Linked DNA regions of Elephas maximus indicus. The protein of the gene in region 2 binds, or shares a complex with, the protein of the main gene of each other region. Links are inferred from orthologs where the notes say so. Each region holds a gene or a part of one and is shown on either strand. Other genes may lie near its edges.

What was found.
Region 1: the proteins of RAB1B (region 2) and TBC1D20 are in contact, whole or in part, in a crystal structure (PDB 4HLQ), measured with the Homo sapiens proteins. The link is inferred for Elephas maximus indicus from reciprocal best matches to the Homo sapiens genes RAB1B and TBC1D20. Residues at the interface, in NP_112243.1 of Homo sapiens: Ser17, Gly18, Ser36, Tyr37, Ile38, Ser39, Thr40, Ile41, Gly42, Val43, Asp44, Phe45, Gln60, Trp62, Ala65, Gly66, Gln67, Arg69, Phe70, Thr72, Ile73, Tyr77, Glu94; in NP_653229.1 of Homo sapiens: Gln97, Gln98, Leu101, Asp102, Arg104, Arg105, Leu107, Arg108, His141, Tyr142, Tyr143, Gln144, Gly145, His147, Asp148, Phe177, Met178, Asp179, Pro180, Thr181, Met182, Lys186, Val212, Ile215, Leu218, Ser219, Thr223, His227, Met272, Ala273.

What each region holds. Positions count from the first base shown.
Region 1 is NC_064843.1:38,503,085-38,506,901, reverse strand, and holds the start of TBC1D20 (TBC1 domain family member 20), read left to right. Parts: upstream 1-874; 5' UTR 875-982; coding exon 983-1,052; intron 1,053-3,817. UniProt on the Homo sapiens protein: GTPase-activating protein (GAP) specific for Rab1 and Rab2 small GTPase families for which it can accelerate the intrinsic GTP hydrolysis rate by more than five orders of magnitude. Also shows GAP activity for RAB18 GTPase.
Region 2 is NC_064825.1:129,422,113-129,425,712, reverse strand, and holds the start of RAB1B (ras-related protein Rab-1B), read right to left. Parts: upstream 2,389-3,600; 5' UTR 2,293-2,388; coding exon 2,279-2,292; intron 659-2,278; coding exon 586-658; intron 316-585; coding exon 220-315; intron 107-219; coding exon 11-106; intron 1-10. UniProt on the Homo sapiens protein: The small GTPases Rab are key regulators of intracellular membrane trafficking, from the formation of transport vesicles to their fusion with membranes.

The DNA of each region.
Region 1 (3,817 bases), on a different chromosome or scaffold from region 2:
GTTGGAGATTGGGAAGGTGGAGCAGTTTTCTGACCTCAACGATATCAAAGGTACGACCGACTGGAGAGAAAGGAGTGTCATTTGAGATGAGGTCAAGGACTTGATAAACCAGAGTTCTATTTTAAATGGGTGGTCATTGCTTTGCACAACTCAAGGAGGAGGGCAATCTTCTATGTGAATGGCACCCCTTGGCGTTGTGGAGTACACAACCTGCAGAGCTGTATGCCATGGCCCTTCTAAACCCGGAAGTCGCCAGGTATGACAGGAGTAGGTGTGGTGAGGTGAAACAGGAGGTATAATCCTTGATAAGCAAAAATAATAGCTCATAATTGTGGGCCATTTATACGTTATACTATATACATACAAAACCAAAAAAAAAAAAAAAAAAACCCAAACCCGTCCAGTCTATTCCGACTCATAGCAACCCTATAAGGCAGAGTAGAATCGCCCCATAGAACCACTGGTAGATTTGAACTGCCGACCTTTTGGTTAGCAGCCGTAGCTCATAACAACTGAGCTACCAGGGTTTCATATACATACAGTATATACTATGAATCGAAGTAGACTCAACGGCAATGGGTTTGGGTTTTTTATGTCCTAAGCACTTTCCCAATAACTCTAACTTAAATACTGTTATTATCATCACCCCATTTGAAAGAGAAGGAAAGTAAAAGCAGTTAACACACCAGGTCAAGAGCCCACACTCTACACCTCAGACCCGCCTAACGCGCGGGCCCGGCGCCGGGCTCTCCCTCCCCCTGTTCAGGGAGCGTGCGCGCTTGCCCCGACCGTCGCCGCCTGCCCCCGCGCAGGGAGCGTCACGTGCAGGCGCAGGGGCGGAGCCCGCGCGGGGACGCTAGCGCGCCTGCGCACCGCTGGTCGACGCAGCCAAACCCACCCGGCGGCTCGGGGCAGCGCCCGCCGCGTCTCTCACGGCTCGGTCACCAGCCGGGGCTCGGGCCCGGGCCCGGGCCCCCGGGGCATGGCTCTCCGGAGTGCTCAGGGCGACGGGCCCGCCTCCAGCACCGGGGCCGGCGGCGCGGAGAAGGCAGGTACGGAAGCCGGCCGGGCGCCGAGGAGCGGCCTGCGGGGACGCCGTGTGGGCCAGGGGCGGCCGGCGGGGCCGGAGACAGCTGTGGGAGCAGTGGGCCTGAGGCCGGGCCGGTGTCGGAGGAGGCAGGGATCAGGAGGGCGGGGGAGGAGAAGAGGGCCTGGGGCTGGGGGACCAGGCGGAGGCTGAGGGGCCAGAGGAGCCGTGGCGACAGACTCGCGTCCCCAGTGGACAGGGCGGGCCGAGGCCCTGCGACCCTGTCTCGTTACATTTGGGAAGAAGCGGAGTCGGGTCTCCCTGCGAACTGAGACCAGGCCTCACCCCCTGGCCTGACTGTCCGGCCACGTCCGCAGACTTCTGGTGACGTCTCGCTCGCTGGAAGGCAGATTTCCCAAACTTCATTCACCTGTCAGCCTCTTGGTTTCCCTGTGACCTCTATTTTTAAAAATTAATTCACGTACCATAAAATTCGGCCTGTATTGTAAAGGGTGCAATTCAGTGATTGTTAGTACATTCGCAAGGTTGTGTAACCATCGTCACTAGTTAGTATCTAATTCCAGAACGTTTTCATCACCCCAAAAAGAAACTCGGTGCTCATTAGCAGTCACTGCCCATTCCCCAATCCCCCAGCCCCTGGCAACGATTAATCTACTTTCTCTCTCTATCGTGTGCCATCCATTTTAATATTAATTCTGTAAAAAGCTCTTCTGTCTCTTTTTTCCTTAGTTTATCCTAAGCAGTAGTTTTCATGAAGTCATGATTTCGTAGTGTACTATATTTTTTAATATGTCTTACATATGATAAATACATGACAATTAAGATTTTGAATACCCACCCCGTGTCAACAAAAATAATCTTTTATCTCTTGGGGAGGCATAAGGTAGCTTTTCTACTTCCTAGTCCTCTGATAAGTATTGCTCATAATAGAACCAACCACCTTTAAATGAAGCACCTGGTGTCACATCTGGGCTCATTTTCTGTTACTCCTTTTTGTCCTATTTTGATACTGGATGAAAGTGGAGCTGACTCCCCGGATAACATCTCTGGGCCCTTTAGCATCATAACCCTTTGCTGGTTGTTTGTGTGACATCCGGCCTCATAGCATAATAGTGCCCAAGAGGCAGGGATCTTGTGACCTGTTGCAGTGCAGCTATGCTTGGTCCTTCTAGGTTGCAAGACTTTACCCCCTGGTCCCTTTAATTTTGCTCCTCTGAACAGAAAGAATTTAGAAACGAAGTATTAAAAAAAAAAAAAAAGTAGTTTTTTTAAAATCAGATACTTCTTGGCAAAGTTACTAGAAGCCCTCCTTTGTAGAGTTTATGATCAGATTGATTTAGAATATTTTTCTCCATCGTTGGCCTAAAACAGTCTTTCTTGATGTGTGCTTACCTTTATGTTTCAGGTAGTTAATGAATCTCTGATAATTTGGGCACTATTTTGTAGAAACTTGTTAGTTGCTGATGAGTTGGCAGCAACTCATGGCGACCCCATGTAACAACAGAATGAAACATAGCCTGGTCCTGTGCCATCTTCAAGATCGTTGGTACGCTCAAGTCCATTGTTGTGGCCACTGTGTATCTTGAGTGCCTTCCAGTCTAAGGGGCTCATCTTCCAGCACTCTATTGGACGATATTTTGTTGAGATCCATAGAGTTTTCATTGTCTGATTTTCAGAAGTACATCACCAGGCCTGTCTTTCTCATCTAACTTCGTTTGGAAGCTCCAATGAAACCTGTTCACCAAGGGTGACCTTGCTGGTATTTGAAATACTAGTGACATGGCTTACAGTATCCTAGCAATACCTAAGCCACCACAGTATGACAACTTGACAGATCGGCGGTGGAGCAACCAATTAGAACCTCCAAAAATAGAGACTATTTTTTTTTTTTAATAGGAACCTTACCCAGGATAAGGATGAGGTTTTCCTCTCCCACTCCCTTTCTCTGGTACAGATATGAAGTTCAAGCATAAATTTTTAAGTTAATTTCCAGTGTCAGCATCAGGAGTTCAAGGGAGTGGGTTAGGGGGTGTTTGCCTAGAGGAATCACTCCCTCTGCCTCTGACTGGCTCTTTCATTGTTTTGATTAAGGCTAGCATTGCTTAGAATTTAACTTCTGCTTAAAACTGTAACGCTTTCTGAAAATGCAAGTTTAAACCAAATAGTATGGAATTTTGTACTCTCACAGAAGATTCCGTTATTAAGTGTGTAGATAATTGATCTAAGTCACTAATTTTTTTTTGGTGATAGGAAAACTTCTAGAGGAAGCATAGGTAGTGATCATCTTTACTCATTGTCCTTCCCCTGTATGTTAAGTTCCCCAAGCCAGATGCTTTTGGAGATACCTGTTGCTCTGAGAAGCAGGAAGCTTTACTTTGGCTGTATAGCAGAGTTGTGGGAAATTGGAGTCAACAACTGGGGCGCAGCCATCTTTATCTGAACTATTAAGAACTGCTGCTTCAGTGTCCTTTATTTAAGCGATCACTTTAATTGTGATCAGGCCAAAGCAGTGCCTGTATCATTTTTTTTTTCCTTTGTTGAATGAATTACTTTTTATTCATCAGAGTATTTAAAGCAGAATCTTGTCTTTTACAATCAGCTGTGGGCCTGTCATTTAATTCAGTCATTGTTATGGTATCCAAAACCTCTACTATGAAGGAATTTGGAAGGAATCAGCTTTGGAATATACCAAAACCCATTTCCATCGAGTCAATTCCGACTGATAGCGACACTACGGAGCAGAGTAGAACTGCCCCATAGGGTTTCCAA
Region 2 (3,600 bases):
AAGCCAGTACCTGGTCGGTGACGTCGTACACCACGATGATGCCATGGGCTCCCCGATAGTAGCTGGAGGTGATGGTCCGGAACCGTTCCTGACCGGCTGTGTCCCACTTCATGACAGGAGGGGAGGAGAGACAGGGTCAGCCTCACTCCATACCCAGAGCCCCATGCCCCTCCCAGAGTAGTGCCTCTACATGGCGGCTATGGGAAGAACACCACTCACGATCTGAAGTTTGATGGTTTTGCCATCCAGCTCAATAGTTCGGATCTTGAAGTCCACCCCAATGGTGCTGATGTAGCTCTCTGTGTATGTGTCATCCTGAAAGGGCCAGTGAACGGGTCTGAGGCCCATCTGGAAAACCTCCCTCCAGCTCCCTGCCCAGCTGAGCTCCTAACTGCCAAGCCCCAGCTCTCAGCACCCCACTTTGCCAGCCCTGCCGCCTTCCTGTTGGATGTGTTGCCAGCAGGTCCTGCAACTTCATCCTTGGTCCCCCAGGTCTCATAACTGCTGTGTTCTAGGGTATCCCTTCTTCCCCCTGGCCAGCCAGCCAGGACCCCAGATGGACGGTACAGGAGACTTCTTACTCACAGCAAACCGCAGGAGCAGGCAGGACTTGCCCACGCCCGAGTCACCAATCAAAAGCAGCTTAAACAGGTAGTCACTGGAGAGAGAGGATGGGAAGGCATGAAGGATGGCAGGGAGCCCACCCACCAACATACTGGAGTCACAACTGTAACCTTACTGGGGGGTGTGCCTTGGTTTGTAAGACGACGACGCTCACCCAACCCTCCTTCTAGTCCCCCACATAATATAGCTACCCCAAAAGGCTCTCAGTGTGCTGAGGCTAAATCCCAATTTACAGAGAAGGAATCCAAGGCACAGAGAGGGACCTGACTTGCCAAGGATCACAATCAGTAGCGACAGAGTTGGGTATCCTACTCATTCCTGACAAATTTCATTGTTCTGTCTGATTGGGATTACTTAGAGAACCCCACTGCATGCCCTGTGGTGTGCCTGCCTTGGCAGGCGAGGCCGCAGAAGTGGAAGCCAGAGCCCAGACCAGAACCCACTAAATAACTACCTACGTAAAGAGCCTGGTATGAAGCCACCAAGCAGAAGTGGCCAACAAGTAGCAATGGCAACAGCAGTTAACAGTCACTGAGTTCCTACTTTGCCTGGTCCTGTGCTAAGAGCTTCAAATGCACCATGTCATCAAATCCTCACGTCAGTCCAGTGAAGTGGGTGCTGTTATTGCCATCTAAGGAGAAACCCAGAGCTGGAGAAGGGCAGTCTTGCCCCAGGTCACACAGCTGTTAACTATACTACTAGAACCAGGTCTGTCAGACTCCAAAGTCTCTTTGCCAGCCTGCTGGTTTGCTTCTCTGTTCCCCCTTGTAATCCAGCTCAGAGCTTCACCCTGCCCCACGGAAACCTGTGGCCTGGATCGGGAGGAAGAAAAGGAAGTGGCAGAAGAGGAAGACAATGATAACTGATACTCCGGGGAAACTATCAGTGCGAAGTCCTGGCCAGGAGATGTGGGCCACCTACCCCAGCTACCCCTAGGGGGAGTGACCAAGAAGTGAGGAGAGTTCGTGGAGCAAAGAATCCCACCGAAGCGGGGAAGCAACTGCCACATTTCTGTAAACTTCAGTGTTACAGCGAAGGGAAGAGGTGTGCCGACGGCGGCAGGGTGCCTGTGCAAAGGTGAGGAGGGCAGGACAGAATGACTGCCGGGGGCGGCAGGGCAGTGCGGCCCAAGCGAGGGGCCAGGTGACAACCCCCCCGGAGCGCTGCCTCGGGGCCTCCGGTGTTGTTGGATCTGCAGGGCAGAGGGACTTAAGGCCCAACGTAAGGGCTCGAGTTTATACCAAGACCAGAGACTATCGTGACAGGCCCCAAAACGCTGAGACCGTTGTCTGCACCAAGGCCGCTGCCACGTTCAAGCCGCAGGTGGGGAAACTGAGGCCAGGAGAGATCGGGGCTGCGGGGTCACCTGACCGTTAAGGCCCGGTAGAGCACATGCCTCGGGCCCCAAGCAGTGCCCCTCGGGGTCGCCGTCTTTGGGCGCTGGGTGCAATGACTCGGGGGGTGTCGAGCCGGGGTTCGGGGGCACCCGGGGGGAGGGGCAGAACCCGGATGTGAGGGGGGGGGGTCAGCGGAAGAGAGACCCGGATGTGGGGGCGCCGCGCAGTCCTGACCCGGGCAGGACAACCCCGGTAAGCGTACAGCCCCGTACTCGGAATCGAGGCTGCGCCGGACGGCGCGGGCGGGGCTCACTCACTATTCGGGGTTCATGGCGGCAGCGGCGGCCCGCTCGGTCGCTCCCAGTCGGCTCTGCTCCGCCTCCCGTTCCAAGATGGTGGCCGCTCCGCCCCAGAGGCCCCGCCCGCGGAGCGCAGGCGCAAATACGCCCAAGTGGGGCCTCGCCGCGCTGCTTCTTGGAACTTGTAGTTTTCCACATTGTACGACAGGCGTAAAACGGAGGGCCCTCACCTCCCAGCCCGCTCCCTGCACCGCCGGCGCACTGCCTTCTGGGGCTTGTAGTTCGCTCCCTAGACGTACGTGGGATTTAGGACGGCGCCTGGGGGAGCTTGCCTGCATCCCAGCGCTGAAAACTCAGTTTAGGGCCAGGGTTAAGGGTCATTCTCCTTTCCCACGTCTGACCGAGGCGGTCATGCCTACCCTCCTAGCTCCCAGGGTCATGACCATTAGATGAGAAAGTGGGTGCCGGCAAAAGATGATGTTCATTCATCTAGAGTTTTCCGTGTGCTGGGATCTCGTAACTCACAGCGCAGCCCCAGGAGGAGAGTGTCATCACCCACATTTTATAGATGAGAAATATCGAGACTCATAGAATTCGTTCAAGGTCGAACAGCTTAAGAAGGGGCAGGGCTCAAAGTCCCCGCTCTCTATAACCCTAGAAATGGAGGTTGCCTTCTTGGGAGACTTCCGGATTCGGAATCTGAGGCCCCCAAACAATTCCGGGCAAGGAGCAGTATATTTGGGTCCCAGCGGCCCGGGTACCGGACGCGAACAACACGCACACACACACACTTGCCACTCACACGCGACCTCTCCCGACCCGTCTCTCCACCCTCAATCTTCGCCCCCCAAACAAGCCCAGCTCAGATTCAAACCGTCTTTATTTCTACAGCAATATCTGAAAATAAAGAGCGACCACCTCACTTCCCAACCGTGGCAGCCCCTCGCGAGAAGCTGCAGGTGTGGGAGGGGCGTGGCGGAACGGCTCGGTGGGCTGGGCCCGGGGCGGAGTCAGGCCTGCCTGGGCGGGGCCGGGCAGGAGGGGCAGTGCATAAGGCCGGGGTGCGAGGCAGGGCCCGGCAGTGAGAGGACAGGGAGGTCCCCTAGCTATGGCTCAGGGCGATGGCGGAGGAGGCCCGCCCCTCTGAAGCCGGGAGCTCGAGAAGACCTAGGGAACCCTTGGGGAGGCACCGCCCCTCGAGCTGTGGCGCCTGGGAGATACCACCGCGCGGAATGGGGGTGATTAAGGCCTGGGCGGTACCACTAGAGAAGGGCAAGGAGCGGGCAGCCCGGGCAGTACCCGGGAATAGTGGGGTGGGGGTGGGGGGGCGGCCAATAATT